Lonchura striata: one gene and its partners. The protein of the gene in region 1 interacts with the protein of each later gene in a pairwise test. Links are inferred from orthologs where the notes say so. Each region holds a gene or a part of one and is shown in the gene's direction. Other genes may lie near its edges.

The links. The genes of interacting proteins can lie anywhere in the genome.
Region 2: the proteins of OTX1 (region 1) and TNS2 interact in binary tests that used the Homo sapiens proteins (3 or more experiments, as listed by UniProt). The two-hybrid records come from large-scale screens. The link is inferred for Lonchura striata from reciprocal best matches to the Homo sapiens genes OTX1 and TNS2.
Region 3: the proteins of OTX1 (region 1) and CHIC2 interact in binary tests that used the Homo sapiens proteins (3 or more experiments, as listed by UniProt). The two-hybrid records come from large-scale screens. The link is inferred for Lonchura striata from reciprocal best matches to the Homo sapiens genes OTX1 and CHIC2.

What each region holds. Positions count from the first base shown.
Region 1 is NC_134605.1:867,694-875,252, forward strand, and holds OTX1 (homeobox protein OTX1), read left to right. Parts: upstream 1-4,545; coding exon 4,546-4,642; intron 4,643-5,153; coding exon 5,154-5,305; intron 5,306-5,952; coding exon 5,953-6,708; 3' UTR 6,709-7,514; downstream 7,515-7,559. UniProt on the Homo sapiens protein: Probably plays a role in the development of the brain and the sense organs. Can bind to the BCD target sequence (BTS): 5'-TCTAATCCC-3'.
Region 2 is NC_134629.1:4,650,038-4,657,131, reverse strand, and holds the start of TNS2 (tensin-2), read left to right. Parts: upstream 1-4,092; coding exon 4,093-4,158; intron 4,159-5,398; coding exon 5,399-5,510; intron 5,511-5,852; coding exon 5,853-5,890; intron 5,891-5,981; coding exon 5,982-6,020; intron 6,021-6,411; coding exon 6,412-6,507; intron 6,508-6,995; coding exon 6,996-7,039; intron 7,040-7,094. Other genes in the region: EIF4B (eukaryotic translation initiation factor 4B), read left to right, coding at 325-392, 683-770, 864-918, 1,458-1,535. UniProt on the Homo sapiens protein: Tyrosine-protein phosphatase which regulates cell motility, proliferation and muscle-response to insulin. Phosphatase activity is mediated by binding to phosphatidylinositol-3,4,5-triphosphate (PtdIns(3,4,5)P3) via the SH2 domain.
Region 3 is NC_134606.1:26,941,583-26,949,552, reverse strand, and holds the start of CHIC2 (cysteine-rich hydrophobic domain-containing protein 2), read left to right. Parts: upstream 1-4,968; 5' UTR 4,969-5,061; coding exon 5,062-5,180; intron 5,181-7,970.

The sequences.
Region 1 (7,559 bases):
GATATAGGAAAAAAAAAATCATTGGGAATGGTTTCATCTAGTCCTGCCATATGTAATACTTAATAAGCTACCTACATTTTATAGTTAGGTCAGATCCACCCCAGTTATTATTAAAAATGTGCTGTATTTACCAGTGGTTTATTACATCAGTTTTACATTTCCCCGAGAGTAGAGCCGAGCTGCTCTGGTTTACTCGGGGGGCTTCTCCCCCAAGCGCTGGCACAAGACCCTGGGAGCGGCTGCGAGCGGAGTGGGGCAGCCCGGGGCAGAGACCGGCCCGGCCCAGGACAGCGCGACACTTGCCAGCCGCGTCCTCCCTCGGACCGGGCCGGGCCGGCCCGCGCCGCCCGCTCCGCGTTATTTATTGCGCCCGGCCGCGTTCCCCACCGCACCCCGCCCCGTCCGTGTGCCCCCAAGCGTGTCCCGCGCTCGCATCGTCCCTTCGTGGAGCTCGTCTCGTTTATTTATTACAACACCGAGTCATATATAAAATTTTCAATAAAACCCGAATCTTTCTTACCGTAACTGCCGCTTTCCTCTTTACCTGGGAAACTCCCTTCACCCCGCCCGCCTTCAGTCGGCCGGGGAGGGGGCTCGGGGGGCGGGAGGGGCCCGATCCCCGCGGGGGGAGCAGCGGGGCTCCGCGCCCCGGGCCGCCCCGAACGCCGCCGCTTCGCCAACGCAACGAAACCCACCGGACGGAAAAGTTTTTCGTTGGATTTTAATAAAATGAAACTCGGGGAGGGGGAGGTAAAACTTTTCTCCGCTGGGCCGATGCCGCCCGCCAGCGGCGTGGGGGATGCGCGCAAGGAGCGCACCCGCGGGGAGCGGGCGAGGCACCGCAGCAGCGCCGGCGGCTCCGGGCGCGACCGCGGCCCGCTCCGCGCTGCGCCCCGCCGCTCTCGCCAAAAGAAGTCCCCCGTGGAGGAGGGAAGCTCCCGGTTTCGTGCGAGCGGCCGCCGGTGCCGCGGGATGCACGGCCTGGGGAACTGGGGGCTGCCCCGGGGCCCGCAGGTGGATTTGGCCCCATGCGAAGTCTGGGGAGATGTGCGGAACGCACCGGCGCCGGGGTGGGCTGGGGCAGCGGGCTCCGCCGTGCTCTTCTGCCCTCCCGTACAAATACAGGAGCTGGGGACGGCAGGGAACGCGCTCTGAGGGCTCCGCGGCTGCGGAGGCTCGGGAGGGGAGAGGCGGCAAAGCCCCCGGCGCTGCTGCCCCGCCGGGAGCCGCTGAGCCCCGAAGCGTGGGGCTGCTCCTGGGGCGAGGGGGGCCGCGGGCGGGCATCCTCTCCTCCTGGGGAGGCCGGTGTTTGCCTCGCTTTTAAAGCGAAAAAAGTCACTCGGTGGGCTGAAGGCAAAATAAGTGCGTGTGTCCCCCGTCCTTCGCCCCCAGCCCGGCAAGCGGGCCGCAGGAAGCCCCCGCCCCGCCGCCGGACCGAACTCTGCCCTTCGCCGGGCCGGGGTCGCGCAGCCCGGCCCCTGCCCGCCCGCAGCTCCCGCCCCGCCGCCGACCTTACCTGGGCGCAGCGGGGAGGGCGCCGGCTCCGTCCGGCGGAGGGAACGGGGGATCGGAGTCGCCGGGACCGTCACCTCGGGGGGGTGGCGAGCCCCGCGCCCGCCCTGCCCGCAGCCCCCGGCCGAGCCTGCGGGGAGGCGTCCGCAATTGGGGTTGGGCAACCGCGGGAGCTGCGGGAGGCTTGGGGGGGCATGGGTACCCCCTGGTGTGTGTGGGGGGAAGCCTCGGGGGGGCCGCTGCCCGCCAGGACCGGGGCTGCCCCGGCGGGGCCAAGTGATGGGAAGGCGGCGGGGGGCGGGGGGAGCGCAGCCCGAGCCAGGAACTGCCCCGGCAGGACCGGGGCAAAACGGGGGAGAGGGGCTGGAAGGGGGGAGAACTGCCCCCGCAAACTCTTCCTGCGCCCTCCTCCTGCCTTTGCGTTTTTTTGTGAATGGGCCGCGGCGCCTTTGTTACGGGGAGAAGTGCCCGTGTCGCTGACTTTTGCGGGAGAGCGAAGGAGCTTGCTAACCTCCTCCATCGGCTCCCTCTCGCCCGGCTTAGACGGTTCCCTCCTCGCACAGGAAAAAGAATTGAAAAGAAGGGGAAAAAACTCCAACAACAACAAAATAAAATGGGGGGAAAGTCTTTTCCCCGGGAGACCGCGCTCCGATCGGGGCCGGCGGGCAGCGCCTTTGAACATTAGCTCGCTTTCAGCTCCACTGCAATTAGGGGGAGTTGATTTGGGGAGACCAACAAAAGCCGCGCACCGGAGCCTCTGTAGAGGTCCGGGGCCGCTCCGCCGCCCGCCGCGCCCCGACCCCGCCGCCCGGAGCGAGGAGCGGAGCCCCGCGGAGCGGCGCGGAGGGCCCGGGGTCACCTCGCCCCTCTGCCCGCCGCTCCCGCGCGGCCCCCGCCCGCTCGGCCCCCACGGCGCGTAGCAGCCCCTAAATTCGGGACACGCGAGGAAAGGTGCGGTCGGTGTAGTTTTATTGCGATTTTAAAGCACAAAGTTTGCGAGAGCCTGCGGGCAGCGGGGTGGGGGGGCCGCGACACCGCCTCCCCTCCCCAGGAGCGCCCTCCGTGCCGGCGGAGGCGGCGGCCGAAAGTTTTTCTGCGGTCTCCCCGGGCGGCAGGGACGCGGAGGACGGCGCGGAGCGGCGCGGGGGGCATCCCGAGGGAGGGAGGGGGCAGAGCTGCGCGGGCGCGGAGCGGCCCTCCCTCTTCCGCACTTCTCCAACAATTCCCACCACCCTCCCTCTCCGCGGAGGTTGCGCGGGCCCCGCGTGCCCGCCCCCTGCACCCCTCGCTCCGCCGGCCGGCTCTCCGCGGCGCCGGGGCCGGTGCGCGGGGGAGCGCGGAGCGGCGCGGGGCGGTGCGGAGGAGCCGTCGCCCCGCGCTGCCATTGCCCGGGCGGCTGTCAGTCAGGCGGGGAGCGGCCGGGGATTGGCGCCGGGCTGGTTACGCAGTTGCTTTGCGCGCACATACAAGGGTAGGGCCGGGGGTAGGTGATCAATCCTCATCAGGGCCGCGGCTCCATCGCCCCGACAGCGCGGGCCGCCGGCAAGGTAACGCGGGGTACCCCGACAAGTCGGGGGTGCGCGGCTCGGCCCCGGGCAGCGCCCCCCCGGCCCCCTCCCCAGCCCGCCTCTCACCTGCCTGCCCCCCTCGCTCCCTCCCCCGCCGCGCCCCCTCCGCGCCCCCCGCCCGCTCCGCCCCGCGCTGCCCCGCGCAGCCCCCGCCGCGGCCGCCGGGCGGGCGCTCAGTCGCTCCGCAGGTGGCCGCGCAGGTGAGGCGGGCGGGGGCGGTGGGCACCGCGCTCACCGACGGGGCGGGCGGCGGCGCCGGGACGGAGCGTAGCGGGCCCGCGGCGCCGTGGGCAGGGGTGGTGAGGGCGGCCGGGCCGGGGCTGCCTCGGGATTTTTTTTTTTTTCCTTCCCTCTCTTCTCTTCACTTTTATTCTCCTCCTCTTCCCCGTTCTCTCCTGCCGGGACGGGCCCGCTCCGCCGCGTCCCCGACAAAGTTATGCAACGCCGGGTCCCGGCTCCGCCACCCGACCTGCGCCCGGCGCCGGCCTACGGGGGGCCCCGCGACCCCCGCCCGGCATCCCCCGCCCCGCGGCCCGGGTGCCCCATCGCCCCGGCTGGGGGGAGTCGTGTCAGAGAGCGGGGGCTGCCCCCGGGGCTCGACGGGGCCGCCCGGGGTCTCTCGGCTCCTTCCTCCCCTGCGCGGGTATCCGCGGCATTTTGCCCCGGGCCGGGCGCTGCCGGGTCTCCGGTGCCGCGTCCCCCGCCGGCCCGTCCCGGCTGCCCGCGCTGTCGCCGCTCGGCTGCCGGCGCGCTCTTTTTTCCTTTTCCCCTTTTTAACTCTTATCCATTTCTAATTAAAACGTCCCCGTCTGCTCGCTTTTAAATTAATTATACTTCCCTCCTCTGATACCTCCTTTTGATTCCTAATCCAATTATCTTTTTAAATAATTGCTTTATCTGTCCCGATCGCCGGGCACTGTTGCCTCTCGGCACTTGCGCGCGACTCGCCTTCGTTTAAAATAAAATAATAATAAAATTAACAATCGGAAGCCGCCCGCGCGGAGCCCCCGCGCCGGGCGGGCGCAGCCCCGCGGGAGCCCCGGGCGGCCGAAGCCTCACCCGCTTCTCTCCGCTCTCTCCCCAGGCGCTCCGGCCTCGCCTCTGCGCGGGGAAGAAATCCGCCTGCTTCTCGATCCTCGTTGTTATTTTGATTTTATTTTTCCCCTTCGTTTTTATTTTTCTCTCACTTCACCTGCTATCTCTCGAGGACCTCGTGGCGGTGACGGCAGGACTGAACGAAAAAAACTCTTTTCACGCCGACTTTGTGCTCCGTTTTAAAATTGTCGTTGGCTTTAATTTTTTTTTTTTTTTGGTCTCTTATTTGGGGATTTTTTCGGGGGCTCTTTTTGTCAGTTTTTTTTTTTTTTTTTCTTTCATTTCCCCCTTCCCCACCGCATACATTCGATTTGATTTTTGATTTTTTTTTTCCTGCTGGACTTTGGAGGAAAACTGCCCGGCTTCTAGCATGATGTCTTACCTCAAACAGCCCCCTTACGGCATGAACGGGCTGGGGCTGACGGGCCCGGCCATGGACCTGCTGCATCCCTCCGTGGGGTATCCGGGTGAGTGCCGCGCACCGCGGCCCCCCAGTCCCCCACCCTCCAGCCAGCGGAGGGGGAAAACTTCCATCCGTGCGGGTTTGGAGGAGCTGGTGGGGCCGCACGGCTCAGGGTGGGTGGTGGGCTGGTTGTTTGCCTGCACCCCTGCCTGGGGACATTGGGGTCTAGCTGGATTTTCCCCCTGCTCCCGGGATGTCTTCGTTTTCCCAGGGATTTTTAAGGATAAAAAACTTTCAGATTGAACAATAACAACACAAAAAAGTAATTAATTTCGACACAACGAAATCTCGCCGTGGCTCCCTCTGGAGCCAGGCCTGACCCTTGCCCAGCCCTGCGCCCCTCGCCCTGCCGGCAGCGGGACGCGCTGCGGCAGCCGGGGGTGTGCGGGGACGCTGCCGCTCTTCGGGAGCGCCTCCAGCCCTTGTCCCGGGGACGCCGGGGCTCCCCCGTGCCGGGGCGTGCGGGAGGTGCGGGGGGGCCCGGCGTGACCCCCGTGGTGGTGCTCCTCCCGCAGCCACCCCGCGGAAGCAGCGGCGGGAGCGCACCACCTTCACCCGCTCGCAGCTGGACGTGCTGGAGGCGCTCTTTGCCAAGACCCGCTACCCGGACATCTTCATGCGGGAGGAGGTCGCCCTGAAGATCAACCTGCCCGAATCCCGAGTCCAGGTACCGGGCCTGCGGGGGGAATCCTGCACCGCTGTGGGATGGGGATGCAGGACCACCCCAGCTCAGCTGGCGCTGCTCAGACCGGCTGCTCCATCCACACTCATCCTCTTTCCTTGGGATGGGGATGTGTGTGGGCTCCCATCTGCTCGTCTGTCCCACTGTGGGCACATTCAGCCAAAGAGGGAGCGTTTATTTTTTATTCTCTTGTATTATTTTTATTAATATATTTTCTGTCACCGTCCACCTGCTCCAGGGTATAGCAGCCCTACCAGCTGGGTGCTTCCCAGAGGAATTCCCTTTGGGCACTGCTCAGTGGATACCCAGGAGGGCAGGATATGCAGGCAGCCCCCAACACAGGATCTGTCCCCCAAATCCATATTTTGTCACTGTGCCAGGGATATGCACGAGCTGGGACACCACAGACTTTGACCCTGGCCACCCTTGCTTTTGGCAGGCTGTGGGGTGCCCGGGTTGCCGGGCAGGGGTGGGATGTGGGATTGTATTTAGGGGTGTGAGGGGTGCGCAGCGTTAGTGGTACCGGGAGAACTGGTGCCAGGCTGAGGGTGGTTGGCCGAGGAGGCCCTTCGGGGCTGTTCGCTCACCCCACCGTGCTCCTTGCTCCCCTGCGCCCCGTTTTGTCCCTGCAGGTCTGGTTCAAGAACCGCCGCGCCAAGTGCCGGCAGCAGCAGCAGAGCGGCGGCGGGGCCAAGAGCCGCCCGGCCAAGAAGAAATCCTCGCCCGCCCGGGAGAGCTCGGGCTCGGAGAGCAGCGGGCAGTTCACGCCGCCGGCAGCGGCCTCCAGCTCCGCCTCGTCTTCCTCCTCCAGCTCGGCCTCCTCGGCGCCGGTGGGCGCCCCGGCCTCTCTCAGCACGCCGGCGTCATCCATCTGGAGCCCCGCTTCCATCTCCCCGGGCGCGGCGCCCGCGGGGGTGACGGTGCCCGAGCCGCTGCCGCCGGCCGCCGCCTCCTGCATGCAGCGGGCCGGCCCCGCCGCCTCGGCCGCCTCCGCCTCCTACCCCGTGTCCTACAGCCAGGGCGGCGGCTACGGCCAGGGCTACCCCGCGCCGCCCTCCTCGTCCTACTTCGGGGGCGTGGATTGCAGCTCCTACCTGGCGCCCATGCACTCCCACCACCATCCCCACCAGCTCAGCCCCATGGGGCCCTCCTCGGTGCCGGGCCACCACCACCACCACCCGCTGAGCCAGAGCTCGGGCCACCACCACCATCACCACCACCACCACCACCACCAAGGCTACGGCGGCACGGGGCTGCCCTTCAACTCCTCCGACTGCCTGGACTACAAGGAGCCCGCCGCCGCCGCCGCCTCCTGGAAGCTCAACTTCAACTCCCCCGACTGCCTTGACTACAAGGACCAGGCGTCCTGGCGCTTCCAGGTCTTGTGAGGGACCGGCCACCATCCCCCCGAAGCTGCCGCTGGTCCCCCACGCGGGGACTCCCCACCGCCTCCCGGGCAGGACTCTGGGCTCTTCCTCCTCCTCCTCCTCCCTCTTCGTTAGCAGTGGCGATGTCCTGGGGAGGTCCTGCCGCCCCCATCTCTACTGACTGATATTTATTTGCTTCCTGCACCACTCCACCAGGTTTATTATAATTATTATTTTTTTAAACGCAACAGAAGAGGAGTTAAAAAAAAAAAAAAAAAGAAAAGAAAATTAAAAAGCCAAGCGTGTCCCCTGCTGCCCCCCGGGCAGAGGCGCAGGCTGGCTCCTGCCCTGCCAGTGCCCCCCCAGCTTTGTGCGGGGACCCTCAGCCCCTGCGGGTGTGGAAGCCCCGGCTCGCCAGTCCTGTGCAGCCTCTTGCCGCGGGGAGCGGCGGGAGTGATGTAAATACTCGGTCCGTTCCAGTGACCACGATTATTTTTAGTTGATGCTGTTGGGTTGGCATTTATCTAGAGTCTAACATGGAACAGAACGTAAAAAAAAAAAAAAAAAATCTTTTTTAATTTCGATTTTCTTCCCTAAAAAAAACGATTTTTTCCCGGTCTCATGCCCTCCGTCCATCCTCAAGGACTCTGCACAAGCTTGGCTGTGCCGTCCTGGGGCTGAGGGTGAGGGGGGCATGGAAGCAGCCATGGGAGGTGTCCAGAAGGGAGGCAAAGGGGGAGGGAGGAAAGGCTGCCCGCCTGATCCGCAACCTGCAGACCAAAAAAACCCAAAACTTTTGGAAAAAAAAAAATAAAATGAAACAAACAAAAAAAAAGCTAAAAAAAAAAAAGTTTTGGTTTATTTTTTGGGGG
Region 2 (7,094 bases), on another chromosome or scaffold:
CCAGTGTTCTGTGGCCATGCCAACACTCCAGCCCATGGAGGCTCTTCTGCTCATCCCAACCTTCCTGTGCCCCCTTCCACCATTCTCAGGTTGTTCCTGAGCTCCATCCCAGCATTCTTGTGCCCGATTCCAAATTTCCTATGGCTCAGGGATGTTCCTGCGCCCCATCCTGACATTCCCAGGGCCTAGGGATATTCCAGTGCCCCATCCCAATATTCCTAGGCCCTATCCCAACATTCACATGCCCCATTCCACCATTCCTAGGAATGGGGCCATTCCAGGGACCCTCCTGATGCCCTTTCCCCCCATTTTCTCTCTCCCCAGTGGGGGCTCCCCTGGCCCCTCCCCCCCTGGAGATGATGGGGGCCCCCCCAGGACCCCCCAGAGGAGAGGTAAGACTAGGAGGAAGGGACTGGGAAAGCTTGGGGTGGGTTTTGGGGATTTGGGAAGTCTTGGGAGCACTTGTGGGGCTCAGAGGGTGTTAATGGGGTGTTTGGGGAATTTTGGAGGAGCTCAGGGCTTTCCAGGGGGCTCAGGGGGAGGTTGGTATCAGGGGATCTGGGAGGGTTGAGGAGTTTTGTGGGGGAGTTTAAAGGGGTTCAGGGGGTTCCAGGGATGTTGAGGCCTTGCTGGGGGGTTCAGGGGGTTTTGGGGCTGTAACCCCCCGACCCTTTCCCTGCAGAGGAGCTGAAGCCGGAGGGGGGTCGGGAGAGCAGCTCCAAGGGCCGGAGCTGCAGCCGCGGCCCCACGGGAATGGGGGACCCTGAGAGGTGAGACCCTCCCAGAGCCCCCTCCGGAGCCGGGAAACCCCCCCGGGCACCGGGAATTTCCCCGGGCATTGACCTCTGACCTCTGTTCCTCAGGAGGGACCCCCGGAAGGAGCACGAGCCAAAGAAACTGGAGGAGACCCCCCCCTCCGTAAGGATCTGGGGCACCCAGAACAGGGGAGGGACCCCCCTCAAATCCCGGGTTTGGGGGGTTTTGGGGAATTTTCACCATAACTGATGCCCTATGCCTCCAGTTAACAGGGAGGGCTGTAACTCCTGTTCGGGGTGAGTGAACCCCCAGGGGACTTCAACCCCTCAAATCTCATTTTTTGGGGTATTTTGGGAATTTTCTGCTTCACTGCCCCTCTCCCTCTGCCCACCTTCACAGTTCAGCCTTGAACAGTCTGAAACTCCCTGGGGGAGGGCTGTGAACCCCTCTTTTTGGCGTGCATGACCCCCTGGGGGTTTTCATCCCCTTCAAATCTTGTTTTTTTGGGAGCTTTGGGAGTTGTTTTTTTTCAACAGTGACACCCCCCTGGCCCTCCCAGCTCAAACACCCTGGCAATTTTGGGATTTCTCTGACCCTTTCTGAGGGGCTGTGACCCCCTGGTTTTGGGATGTGTGAGCTCCTGAGGATATTTATCCCCCTCAATTCCCATTTTTGGGAATTTTTCCTGGTTTTCCCCGCAGTTCAGCCATGCCAGCAAATACGCCGCGCTCTCTATGGATGGGGAGGATGAAGGTGATGATGAAGAAGGAGCTGAGTAGAAACTTCCTCCCCCTCTTCCTCCTCCTCAGCTGCTGCAGGAACCTCTGGAGATTCCCAAAAATCCCAACCTTGATCCAGGCGAGACAGAAATAAAGCCTAAAACTCATCAATTCCCTCAGCTACAGCTTCTTAAATCCTGAAAACAACCCCACACAGAACGCACGGGAATCACCCCAAAATCAGCACAGGGAGCGGGAGGGGTAATTCCAAGAGTTTTCTTGAAAGAAAAGCAGCTCCTCCCTCCTTGTTTTCCATGGAATAAGGGGTGAGGAAGAGCTGGCCTTCATCCTCACTGGAGCCCCTCCAAAACAGGGATAGGGAGGCAACCAATCCCCCCCAAATCCTCCGGGGTCTGGGATCCCCCTCTGCCCCCCTTTTTCCTCACCTCTGGAATGTTGATTTCCCCCTGGGCACCTTCATCATCCTCCTGCTCACAGGTGCCCCTCCAATTCCCCCACCCAATTTTTGGGATGCAAATCCCACCCTTTACACAGGAAAACCTGAATTTCCACCCCAGAACCTCAAGATACTCCGAGATTTTGGGATTTGGGGTGGGCTGTAAAATTGTGTAAAAAGAACCTTCCCAGAGGTTTTGGGAGGTCCTGGGGGAGTTTTGGGGTCCCCAGGGGGGCGTTTTGGGGTTCTCCCCCAGGTTGGGGGCTGTTTTGTTTTCTCCAATAAAATGAGCTGAAAAAGATCCAGAAAGGCCCCAGATCTTTCTGCCCTTCTCCTCTTCACCTTGAAGGGGAACAGGGCAGTTCCCAAAGCCCTCCAGGGGGAATTTCCTGTCCCGACATTGGCCTTCCTCTCTCTGGGCTTCCTTTTTCTTTCTTGCATCCCTTCTTCATTCCATCTTTTCTCCTTCCTCATCCTTCATTCCTTTCTTACTGCCTTTCCTCCTTCTTCATGTTCCTCCTTCCTTCCATCCTCTTGCTCTTTCTCCTCTTCCTCTTCCACTTCCTCACTTCTTCACTTCCTCCTCCTCTATCATTGCATCTCCTGCTTCCCCTTCTCCTTCCTTTTTCCACCTCATTTTCTTCCTCTCCTTTTTTCTTCTTCTCTGTCCTTCCTCTCATTGTTCCTTCTCCTTCCTCCTTCCATCTTCTTCCTCCTCATCCCTATTTCTTCATCCTCTTCCTCCTCCTTTTTAATTTTTCCTTCACCTTCATTCTGATTCTTCTCTGCATCCTTCCATTCTTACTCTTCCTCCACCCTCCGCTGATTAACGGTAATTAATTTGGGGTAATTAATTGGGGATGCAGGCACATCACCGAGCCCCGGGATCCCACCCCCTACCCCCCGCCCTTCCTCTTTCCCGGCTCTTCCCAACCGCTGGAATGCTGGAACCCGCCTCCCCCACCGCTGGAATGCGGCCCCCCCCGGGGCGGCTCCGGCCCCACAAAGGGGGGTCTGTCCTGGCCAGGGTGAGGGGGGAGGACCCCAAGGGCCGGGAGAAGGGGACCCTGACAACCCCAACCGGGAGGGGACCTATCAGGCCCCTCAATCCCCTCTACACACCTCAAGTCCCTCAAACCCAAATCCTCTCCCTGCACCCCAAAAACCTCTTCCCCAATTCCCCTGCTGAACCCAAATTCTCTCCCTGCACCGCAACCCCCCCTGCACAATAACCCACACCCCAAACCAGCCCTGCACCCCAAAACCCTCCTTGCACCCTGATTCCTCCCCTGCAACCCAAAACTTCAATAACCCCCACCCCAACGCCCCCCAAAACCCCCTCTACCCCAATTCTTCCCCTTGAAACGAGCTTCCCCCCCAGGAGTCTCACAAGGGAGGAGTTTGGGGTCCCTGCACTCCCTGGGGACCCCATCCCGGGATTGTGTGGGGTCCCTCGAGCCCCTCCAAACCAACATCCCCGCCCCGAGTTTGGGGGTACCATGGGCTGAGGATCCCCTTTCCCAATGAATCTGCAGGTCTCGTGGCGGGGGGGTCTCAGCTTCCCCCTTCTCCTTGATTTTGGGGGACCCCATGGGGTGGGTCCAACCCCCCCTTTTTCCCCGAGTTTGGGGGTCCTGGGGGGCCGCGGCGCGGGTTAGCGAGGGGGCGGTGGGAGGAGGAGGATGAAGAGGGGGCGGGGGCAGCTCCAGGAAACCGTCGGGGGACTCGGGAGGAATTTTGGGGGATCCTGGAAATGAGACGGGGAAACTGAGGCATGGTCGGCAGGGGGCGGTGTCATTCCGTGTGTCCCCCGTGTGTCCCTCTCCTTGTCTCCCCTGTGATCCTCCCGGTGTCCCGTGCCGTGTCCCCTCCGTGTCCGCCCCGTGTGTCTTCTCCGTGTCCCCCGTGTCGCCTCCTTGTCTCCCGTATGTCCCTCCTGGTGTCCCCTCCCCGTGGCCAGACGTGTCGCTCCCGTGTCGTCCCGCCCGTGTCCCCCCCGTGTCCGTGTCCCCCCCCGGCACGGGAAGCGGCTCCGGGCTCGCGGAAACGGCCCCTCCCCGCGCGCCTTCGGCCACGGAGCCGCTCGCGGCACCCACGGGCAGCCCCGAGACGCCCCCCGGGAGCGCCTGGGACCCCCCGAGGTCCCCGCGGAGCCCCCCCATGAAGCCCCCCGGGGCCGTGGGAACGCTTCTGCGCGCGCTTGGCCGCCGCGATGGCCCCGACACGGTAGGACCGGGGCAAGGTCCCGGTGAGGGTGGGTGAAACGGAGGTTTTGGGGGAGTCTGTTTATTCCGCGTACCGCTTCATGGGGGTCCCGCGTAGGGTGGGGACCCCCCGTGGGGAAGCGAGGGCTGGGTGCGGGGGCAAAAGCGGGGGAACCCCCCCGTGGCGCCCCCGCGGGGTTCCCCCGCTGTCCGCTCCAGCCGCCCCCTACCCACGCGTGACGCTGGGTGACCGGGGGGGGGAAGTCGAGTCTGACCCTCCTCCCCCCCCTCGCCGCCCCTCCCCATGTTTTCTCATGCTCACCCCTCGCCTCCACTTTCCCCTTTTCCCCCATTTTCCCACTTTTCCCCGTTTTTCCCGCGTCCCCCACCGTGCCCCCTCCCCCCGCACAGACTCCCACGCCCCTCCCCCTCCGTGGGAACGGCGGGGTCGTCCCAGGGGTCGCCACTTCCCGGGCTTGTCCCTGCCCGCTTCCTGCGGGACTCGATGTCCGTGGCCGGAGGCCAGAGGGGCCGGGGGGGACACGGGGGGGACACGCGGGACGACACGAGGTGGGGGACACGGGGAGGCACAAGTGGGAGTGGGGCTGACACGGGAGCGACGAGGAGTTACGGGAGGGACAAGCGGGGAGAGACGAGGGGACACGGGGGACGTGGGGGAGTTACTTGGGGGACACGGGGGTGGCACGGGGAGTGACATGTAGGACACAGCGGTGCCATGGGAGAGCACGGAGGTGACGCAGGGACGACATGGGGGGGACAGGAGTGGGATCCGAGAGGGGATACAGGGGACACAGGGGAGGACGGGGAGGGGGACACAGGGGAATACTGCGGGTGACAAGAGGGGGACATGATAGGGACACATGCGGGGACACGCGTGGCGTCATGGAGGGACACGGGTGACACGGAGGAGACGCGGTCAGTGAGAAGTCATGGAGGGAACATGGAGGGACACAAGGAGGGACACGGGTGACACCGACTGACACCTGAGGACGCATGAGGGGACCAGAGGAGGACTGCTGTATACAGGGGGGTGACATGAGGGGACACGGAGGTGACGCGATGAGAACTGGGTGGGACTGGGGCCGGTACACAGGGGGGTCACTGAGGGGACCCGGGGAGGCCAGGGGGGGGTTCACAAAAGAAACACAGAGGGTGACACGAGGGGACATGGAGGGGAAACGAGAGGTGACATCGGGGAGGACATGGAGGGGACAGGCGGTGACCGCCCCGTGTCTCCCCAGCCGAGGCCGTCCCCAGCCGCCCCCCACGCGTTCCGCGAGCGGAGCCTGCGCCGGGGGGCGCCCTGTGGGGGCTGCGGGACCCCCCTGGGACCCCACGGGCTCGTGTGCAGAGGTGACACCCCCGGGACAGTCCCGGGACATAGGGAGGGGCTGGATGGGGTGGGGAGGGGGTACTGGGGACAGTGGGGTTGGGACTGGGAGGTTACTGGGGCCAGTGGAGGTACTGGGGGCGCTGGGAGGGCACTGGGAAGTCACTGGGAGCATTGGGGGGTTACTTGGGCGGTTACCGGGGTCACTGAATTGGTCACTGGAGGCAGTGAGCGGTTACTGGGAATACTGGGAGGTTGTTGGGGGCAGCGGGAGGGTATGGGGGTGTATTTGGGGCCCTGGGGGGACGCTGGGGAAACCCTGAGGGGACCCTGGGGGTTTCTGATGTCGCCGTTGTCCCTCCCAGTTTGCAAAGTCGCCGCGCACAAGAGATGTGAGAGCAAGGTACGACGTGGGGCGGGGACGTCACCCAAGGGCGGGGGGGGCCCATTTGGGGCTGGGGTCCATTTGGGATGATCCCCGTGTCCTCCTCCAGGTGACGTCACCGTGCCAACCTCTGCCCCCACCGGAGCTGGTGAGTGGGGGGGGGGGCGCGACCTCCCCAGAGCCGCCGGGCAGGACCCGAGACCCCTCAAATCCCCCTCGAGACCCCCAAACCCCTCGGGCATGACCCGAACTCCCGAGGCACCCCCGGGCAGGACCCTCTGAGCTCCCCTCGGGACCCCCAAACTCCCCGGGCAGGATCAGGGACCCCACGGAAGGGCTGAAACCATCCCAAGCCCGCCCCGAGCAGGAGACGGGACCCCCCCCTCGGGACCCCTAAACACCCATGTCAGGATCCGGTACCCCCGATATTCTCCCTGGACCCTGAACCCCGCAAATCCCCCTCGGGACTCCAAACCCCGCCGGGCAGGCCCCATCCCCGGTGGTCGGGCCCCCCCTCAGACCCCGCCGTGTCCTTCCAGAGGCGGAACACGGCTCCGGTGCGGCGCAGCGAGCGCGTGGTGAGACCCCCGAAACCCCCAAAACCCCCTCGACTCACTGACACCCCACCCCTCCCCGTGATCCCTAACCTCCCCCGGGAATCCCCAACCCCCCTCCCAGGACCCCCCTAAACCTCCCCCCCGGGACTCCCAAAACCCCCCTGATCCTCCCCAGGATTTGGAGACCCCCCGATTCCCCCTCCCGACATCCTCATGACTCTGCGGTGTTTTGGGGACCCCTCTGACACCCCCCCTTGCCCCCCCCCACCCGTCCCTGACCCCTTATGAACCCCCCAGACCCCCTCCCGACCCCCCTCATGTTTTGGGCACTTCCCTGCCCCTCCCCTTGACCCCACGCGGGTGTTCCGGGGACCTCCCAACTGCCCCCGCCCCTCCCTTGACTCCCTCGACCTCTCCCAGTTTTGGGGACCCCCCCTGACCCCGCCTGCCTTGGCCCCTTCTCCGCCCCCGTGTTTGGGGACAGCCCTTAGCTCCCCCATGTTTTGGGTGCCCCACGACCCCCTTTTGCCCCCCCTCGTTTTTGGGGCTCCTCCGGGACCCTCCAGGGCTCCTCGCTCGACAGCGCCCCCCAGCGGAGCACCCTGCCCAGGTACGGGAGTTTGGGGGTGCTGAGGGGGGAATTTGGAGGTTTTGGGGTGCTGGGG
Region 3 (7,970 bases), on another chromosome or scaffold:
TAAAATTTTATTTGATTTTACCATTAGCAGAAACATGTACATTATCAGATACACTTTATCCAGATTTGTCATGAGCAATGACATTTAAGCAGGACAGAGGAGCCAACCCAGAGGTGAGGGAGTCTGTGTCAAGGGAAGGGACTGATGACAAGGTCTCAGAGCAGACCAGGTCATTAAGAAAAGCACAGCCTGATGTGAGTGCCCTTGGAGATTTGCTACAGTTCTGTAGCTTTGTTAAACTCCCTCTGCAGTGTATGTTATTTCTATCTTGTCTCCTCTGGCTTCTGCTTGCCCCCTTTCCTTGCTATCACCACCCACTCTTGTTTTCCTTCTGGCTACCTCTCTTAATTAATCAGGGAAAGAGAAGCTGTTCCTGCCAGCTTTGCTTTGCTATTGAGTAGTGGTAGGAGTTCAAAGAACAAGGTTACGCCTGCACCTGCTGCTTGTTCTTTGATGCCCTGTTGCGTGAAACAATTTCCTTCAGAAGTTCCAACAATGTACTAATTAACAAGGAAAAGACAGGGAGAAACAAGACAAAGACTGTGGGAGGAATGAGGTGAGTAACAACTGAAAGATCTCAGAGGAAAGCAGGGGAAAGAAGCAATTACAAAGGGGGAGCTGGGAAAGAAACATAGAAAAAAGGAGAGGGAGAAACAATAAAGGGAAGGAAAGTAAAAAAAAAAAAAAAAAAAAAAAAAGGAGAAACCAGAAGACAGGGAACTGGAATAAAGAGTTGCAAAAAAAGAAATTATTTAAAGTCTCCTTTAGATTACAATATGCAATTCTTACAGAGAACTCTGAGAACAGTGAGTACCTCTGTTAGAGAGATCTGTACATAGTATCAGTTCTCCCCTATTGCAGTAAGGAAATTCACTGGGGAGGGAGGGCATTCCTACCTGGAACAGCAGCACAATGCTCCCCAGTCTGGACTCTAAGGCTAATATCTTTATTTAGATATAATGAGAGTTAAGTTGCTTAAAAATGCAATTAGTATCAGCCTGGCATTACTCTCACTGTTCCCAAAGAAAGGATAATGAACTGTAAGTGGGAGTCCCACAGTGTTGGGTCAGAGTAGACACCAAAATAATCACAAGCAAACTCTGTGATGTAAAAACATGGACTTGGAAGTACATGGCTGGTGGCAGGGCTGGCACATAGCAGGGACACATCAGCAGTGGAGAAGAAGTGACAGCTCACTGATACTTCTTGAAACAAAGGACAGGTCTGCCTTCTTCAGTGCAGGTGGTAGAACAAGCTGCACAAAATGATGAGTCTCCTTGCAGCCTCTGAGGGTGGTCCAGTACTGCTGAGTCCAGTGCTGAAGGCTTCAAGCACACCAGGTGCTGTGAACACATGCTGAAGCATCATGGGCACCTCAGCCTAGAAACTTAGAACTTCTACATTATACCTACCACAGCTCCTTATCTTTTAAAGGCTGCCACATACTGAACACCTGAAAACTGTGGACTGTGGAACCAGCATTTGTTAGGCAAGTAATATACACCTAAATTGAGATTGAGAGGCATGAGACTTTCTTTCTCTTTATCAAATCCACCAAGTGAGTTAACCAAGCTTGTCATGCCACACAGCACAGGGATCTGGTAACTCAAACATTTGTTTGAGTTAAGCATACTAGTATGAAAAGTGCATTAAACATGAGTTAAGCATACTAGTATGAAAGTGCATTATTACTCAGCTGAATTCTGTGTTATTCTGTAGAATTCTGTTATTTAGGAAATGAAACCTGTTGCAAGTAGCTCATGATAGAAATACTGTCACACTTCTAGTGTGACAGCACAAAATGCTGCTTTCTCCTTTGCAGCAAAGCCAGTGTTATGAATTCTCTCACAACCACACTGTTTCTACCCTGGTTTACCCAGTCAGCATTGCCACATCTTTATATACACTCTACACCTGAGAAATACACCATGAGGATCTTTATGAGTAATGGAGAGTAAATGGCAATGTAATCTTTCAGAAAATAAACTAATCAGTATAACGAATTCAGGGGAGTGCGACAAAGATGACTAGAGGGATCAAGCACCTCTCCATTGAAAATAGGTTGGTTTTATTCTTTTGGGAGAGCTGGGGTTTTTCAGCCTGGACAAGCACTGGGGAGACCTCACAGCAGCCCTCCAGTACCTAAAGGGAGCCTACAAAAGGCTGGAGGGGAAGTTTTTACAGGGGCCTGTAATGATAGGAGAAGGGGAAATGGCCTTAAATTGAAGCACAATAGGTTTAGATTTAGATGTTAGTAAGAAATTCTTTCCTTTGAGGATGTTGAAGTGTTCAAGGGCACTTTGGATGGGTCTCTGAGTGATCTGGTCTAGTGGAAGTTTCCCTGCCCATGGCAGGAGGATTGGATGATATTTAAGTTCCCTTTCAACTCAAACATTCTATGATTCTATGATATACCGAAACAAGCCAGGAAAAAAGAGCTGCAGGTTTCAAAGGAAAAGTTATAATGTGAAAAGGAGGCTATTGTAAATAAGATATGTAAAGTACTAGGAAAATAAAGAGGAATGCAGAATTCCCTTCACACTTACGAAAGTGGACAATGGGAGTGCTACAGATGTAATTTATTTGGACTTCCGTAAAGCCTGTAAAAGCCCACAGCATCCTTTTTTCTTAATTGGAGAGAGATGGAATTAAGGGGTCGGCTGTGAGATGGATAAGAAAGTGGTTGGATGGTTGCATCCAGAAGGTGGAGGTCAACAGCTCCCGATGGACATCGGGGGTAAGTGATATCCCTCAGGAGTCTGTACTGGGACCAGCACTGCTTGATATATTCATCAATGGCATAGACAAAGGGATCTAGTACACTTCCAGTGAATTTGCAGATGACATTAAGCTGAGAAGAATGGTCAACACACCTGGAGGATGGGATTCCATCCAGAAGGACTTGGACAAGCATGAGAAATAGGTACATAGGAATCTCCTGATGTTTAACAAGCCCAAGTACAAGATGCTGCACCTGGGTTGGGGCAACCACCCCTGCCAACCCAGGCTGGGGATGAACAGATCCAGAACAGCCCTGCTGGGAGAGACTTGGGGGTGCTGGTGGGCGAGAGGCTGGACATGACCCTGCCATGGGAACTCACAGCCCAGAAACCCAAACGTGTCCTGGGCTGCACCCAGAGCCCCGTGGGCAGCAGGGGAGGGAGGGGATTCTGTCCCTCTGCTCTCATGAGACCCCACCTGGAACACTGAATCCAGCTCTGGGGTCCGCAATACAGGAAGGACACGGACCTGCTGGAGCGAGTCCAGAGAAGGGCCACCAAGTTGATTAGAGGGGTGGAGAAATGCTGAGAGAATTGGGGTTGTTCAGCCTGGAGAAGAGAAGGTTTTCAGGTGACCTGAATGTGGCCTTGCATACCTGAAGAAGGCCTACAAGAAAGATGAAGAGGGACTTTCTACAAGGACATGTATTAGACATAGCAAAAAATTATTTACTGTGAGGGAAAGATGCAGTTTTTATATTTTCTGTAAAATGCATTCTATGATTCCTATGATTCCCAGATTTACCTTTTTTTTTTTTTTTTTACTGTTTCAGGCTGAACCCTCTGACATTATATATTAGCTACTGCTGCAAGTAGGCAATCCAACAATCTACTCTGTCAAATAAAAAAGATCTTCTCCCCCTTTTTAAAATGTCATCCTACTAGTGCTATATCCTGTGTCACATTGCCTTCCACTGTTGTCACAAGAGCTGATGGCCTACCTGTTGCTAAGGCCATTATGCTCACAATGGCATTTCCCAGTCTTTGTTCTAAGTTTTGGTTACGAAAAATACCAAAACTGCCAAGAGAGAAGAATTCCTGCAATTTTTAGGGTTTTCTGCTTAGCATTCATCAACGTAGTCCTAAATGGGCTGCTACTCTGCAAATTCATTGTTAGTCTCCTCTGCAAACAGTGGCCTAAGCATGATGCTTTCCACGGAGGATTCAAGGCTGCCAGAGGAATGGCAGATCCAGGAACTGACAGTACCAAGGGACATGCACACACCTGGTCTCAGCCTTCAGCAGGTCAGTCTTGGCCAGGGGCCACTTTCCCCACATCTCCATGTACTAAACCAGAGGGACCAATGGGCAACCCCTCAGCTCACAGCAGATGTCCAAATACACCCCCCAACCCCCTGTGCCGTGGGCTTCATGGATGCTCAGAAAAGGGATAAAACCTTGTGATCAAGAAGGCCAATGGTATTCCAGGCTGCATTGGGAAGGGCAGGTGATCCTGCCCCTCTGCTCAGCCCTGGTGAGGCTGCATCAGGAGTGCTGCGTCCAGTTCTGGGCTCCTCAGGGCAGGAGAGACTTGGAGCTCTGGGAGCAGGTCCAGTGGAGGGCAACAAAGATGAGTAAGGGATTGGAGCATCTCTCTTGTGAGGAAAGGCTGAGGGAGCTGGGCCTGTTCAGCATTGAGATGTCTGAGAGGGAACCTAATCAGTATCTATGAGAATCTGCAGAGAGGATGTCAGAGGATGGAGTCAGCTTCTTCTCAGGGGTGCCAAGCAATAGGAAAAGGGACAACGGCCAGAATCTCATGCACAGGAAGTTCCAGCGCGGTGTGGAAGGAGGAAGAACTTCTTTACTGTGCAGGTGACCACCCTCCAGAACAGATTGTCCAGAGAGGCTGAGGAGTCTCCCTCACCGGAGATACTCAGGAACCGTCTGGACACAATCCTTTGCCCCGTGCCCTAGGCAGACCCCCTTCAGCAGGGCTTGGACCCGATGACCGCCGCGGTCGCTGCAGCCGTTCCGCGCCCCTGGGAGGGCCCGCTCCCCGCACCGCCGCCCCACGCGCCGGCCGGCCGGGAGCGGGGCGGGCCCGCGGCCGGATGTTGTTGTTGTTGTTCCTGCCCCGCCCCTCGCCCCCTCCCCCCGCGGAGGGTGACGGGCGCGTCCCCGCCCGGAGCCGCCGCCGCTTCAGCCGCTGCCGCCGCCGCGGCCCCGCTGCCGCCCGGCCCGGCCCGGCCCCGGGCCGCCCCCCTCCCGTCCGCCTCCCTGGCCGGCTCCCGTCGCGTCGCCCCGGCTCCTCTGGCTCATCGGACGCCCCGGCCCGGCCATGGCGGACTTCGATGAAATCTACGAGGAGGAGGAGGACGAGGAACGGGCTCTGGAGGAGCAGCTCCTGAAGTACTCCCCCGACCCGGTGGTGGTGCGCGGCTCGGGCCATGTCACCGTGTAAGGGCCGCGCGGGGCCTGCGCGGCCGGGGCGGGCGGCGGGGCAGGCCCGGGCGGCGGGCCGGGGGCGGCCGGGAGCGCCGAGCTCCTGGGCACAGCTTGGGCAATTCGGGGGGTGGGCGTGGGGAGCACCGGGCCGGGGCTGCTGCCCTGCCCCCACGCCCGTGAAGCTGCGAGGGGGCTCTTGTCGGCCCCACCGAGCCGCCAGGAAACTCGCAGGCAGGTGCGAACCTCTAAGTAGGCGCTGAGGAAACGAGACTGGCTTGGGCTGTGACTGGCAGAGGAATGTGAAGTATTTGCCCAAAATGATGAGCTGTCAGGAAGTAAGGTGCCTGTGTTCTCTGTATAACAGCTATGTGCCAGCACATGACTGGCTGGACTGTTGAACAAGGTTGTTTATGTGCCTCTTACCGACTCCCACTTAACTTGTGGCTGCTGATATACCTCTGAGGACTTTAACAAAGAGAAGGCATCAGTTAGTCAGATACCTACGTGTAAAGTTATGTGGTGGTTGGTGTGTGTTGTTTCACTGTGTTTGACATGGAAGCAACTTCGTTTTGTGCGTGTTTGGTATCTGAGTCTAGCGGGAAGTGACCACGAGCTTGTGTAGTACTTCTCAATAATGTAAGAGATGAGGATATTGTTCCTTCCATCAGTTCTGTCAGTCTCACTCCGTTGAAGTGTAGTAGTTGTCAGTTACAATGTATAGTGTCAGAAGCTGAAATACAAACCTGGAGACAAGGCACAGTAGTACAAACTTTCGGTTTATTTTGTATTCAGAGTTCAGCAGTACTAGGTTTGCAGTACAGATATAAAAGACATACTGTGGTCTGCTTCTCTGAGTCTCATAAACTATATTGATTTTCAGATACTGACTGACAAGTTTTTTTGGCACTTGGGTGCATTGTTGCTTTATTATTAGGTTGACACAAATGCTAATAGCTGATAGCAGTTAGCTGTCTAGTTAAAAACAGGAAGTTATGGATAGACTGAGAGAGATTTGAAAAGTTAGAAGACAAATGTGGCTGGAGGCCAAGGAGACCCTGTGAAAGAGTAGAAGCATGTAGTCAGTGTGTTGAGCTTATGATTGTTTATTGTGAACAAAAGCTGTTCCAGTGATTCACTGAAAATAAGGCAGCAGCCTTAGTCTGTTTCTGAAAAACTGAGCAAAACCACAATCAAATAGTTTTCACATTAGCAAATGAAAAGTACAAACTGAAATGGAGGCTAACACTGGTTTCTTCTCTAAGACTTGAAGGTAAGTTGTGCAAGACAAGATGAAGACCCGTTAGTGGAATGTTGGAGAAGCTTTCGAAGCATTGACTGTGACTAGTAAGGGCCTTGTGGTTGAAGGATGGCTAACTTGATAATTGTTCATTAATAGTTACTAGCTCATTATTACTTTAAGATCTTCCTTAAAGTACTTTTTGTTCTTTAGGTTTTGAATGAGCAATGAAATACCAAAGTGTGCCTCCAAAATTAGGCAATTGATCTTCATCTACTTTATTTACTGTGCCAGGTGTTAACAGTAAACTACTAGCATTTATCAATAGCATTGTCCACTTTTACCTTTGTACAGCCTATAACTTTTTTGTTATTGATCCAGAAGCTTATTATTAAAAGTTAGATCTCTTTTATAGCATTCATTTGGTAGATATAAGGAATAGGTGAAGTCCTGTGTACGTGATGAATTTGTCTTGCCAGTATAAAAGCACACATGCATTCTGAAGGACTGACAAAAATGATCAGCAGTTAAGCAAATACTGGGTTGATCTCTCCCTGGCTCTGCAGTTTGAAGAGTTGCTGACTGCTTCTGCTGTGTGTGTATTTAAACAGAAGCTCTCTTTTCATAGTCTGTTGTCATATCCTTTCTGATCTTACATAGGAGTCATAATGTTGTGTTTGAAAAATGTCAATTCCATGACTACGTATTAACATCAGAAAGACATTTACCATTACTTGATTTCACCCAACAGAGAATGGAAGTGAGTATTTTCTAAGCTGAGTAATTAAAATCAATTAAAGAAAAGCAGTTAAATATTAACCAAATAAAACATAAGTCTTTGCCTCTTGAGGATGTGGAGCTTTTGGTTAGCACTAAGTTTTCTCCTTAAACTCACTGTTTGAAGCAGGCTGCCAGCAATGCTAATATTTTTTTTAACATTGTTTTTTAAATAATTGGGTAAACTGTTTTCACACCAGCAGAGTTTTGATAGCTTAGTAGAAAGGAGTAACATCACCTGGTTGCTGAAAATTTGAGGTTCTCTCTTGTTACGGCAAAAAATTTGAAAGCACTGTGAAAATAGAGATCCTTACTTACAACTGAATTAAAAGTCCAAGGTGTTTCATACTTGTTCCTGAAATCTGTATTATGGTAGGAATGGAGGTACATGATGTATTTGAAATAGTGAAGAGAATATTTATGATAGATGTCTGATAGTGAGTGTTTTCCTGTTCCTCAACTAGTTGAGACATGTATCATATATATAGCAGACTGTGTTAACTGGTAATACTGGATTTATTCCTGCAGTGCTGGAATGATGGAGAGCCATTGGGATGTGCTGATGAATGCCTTTCTGTGCTGTTGTTACAGCACCTTTTATCTTAATGCAAGATAACTTTTTGTAGGGGGAAAAAGAACTTAGAAAAGATGTATTTACCCAAGTAAGTTTCTTTATTGTTAAACTGAAGTCTGCTAATATATTTTTCAACCTTGCTCTGTATCAAGGACACATGAGTGAAAACAGGGCTATGTGAGAATCATGAAGCATGTTAAGATTTGTGAAATAT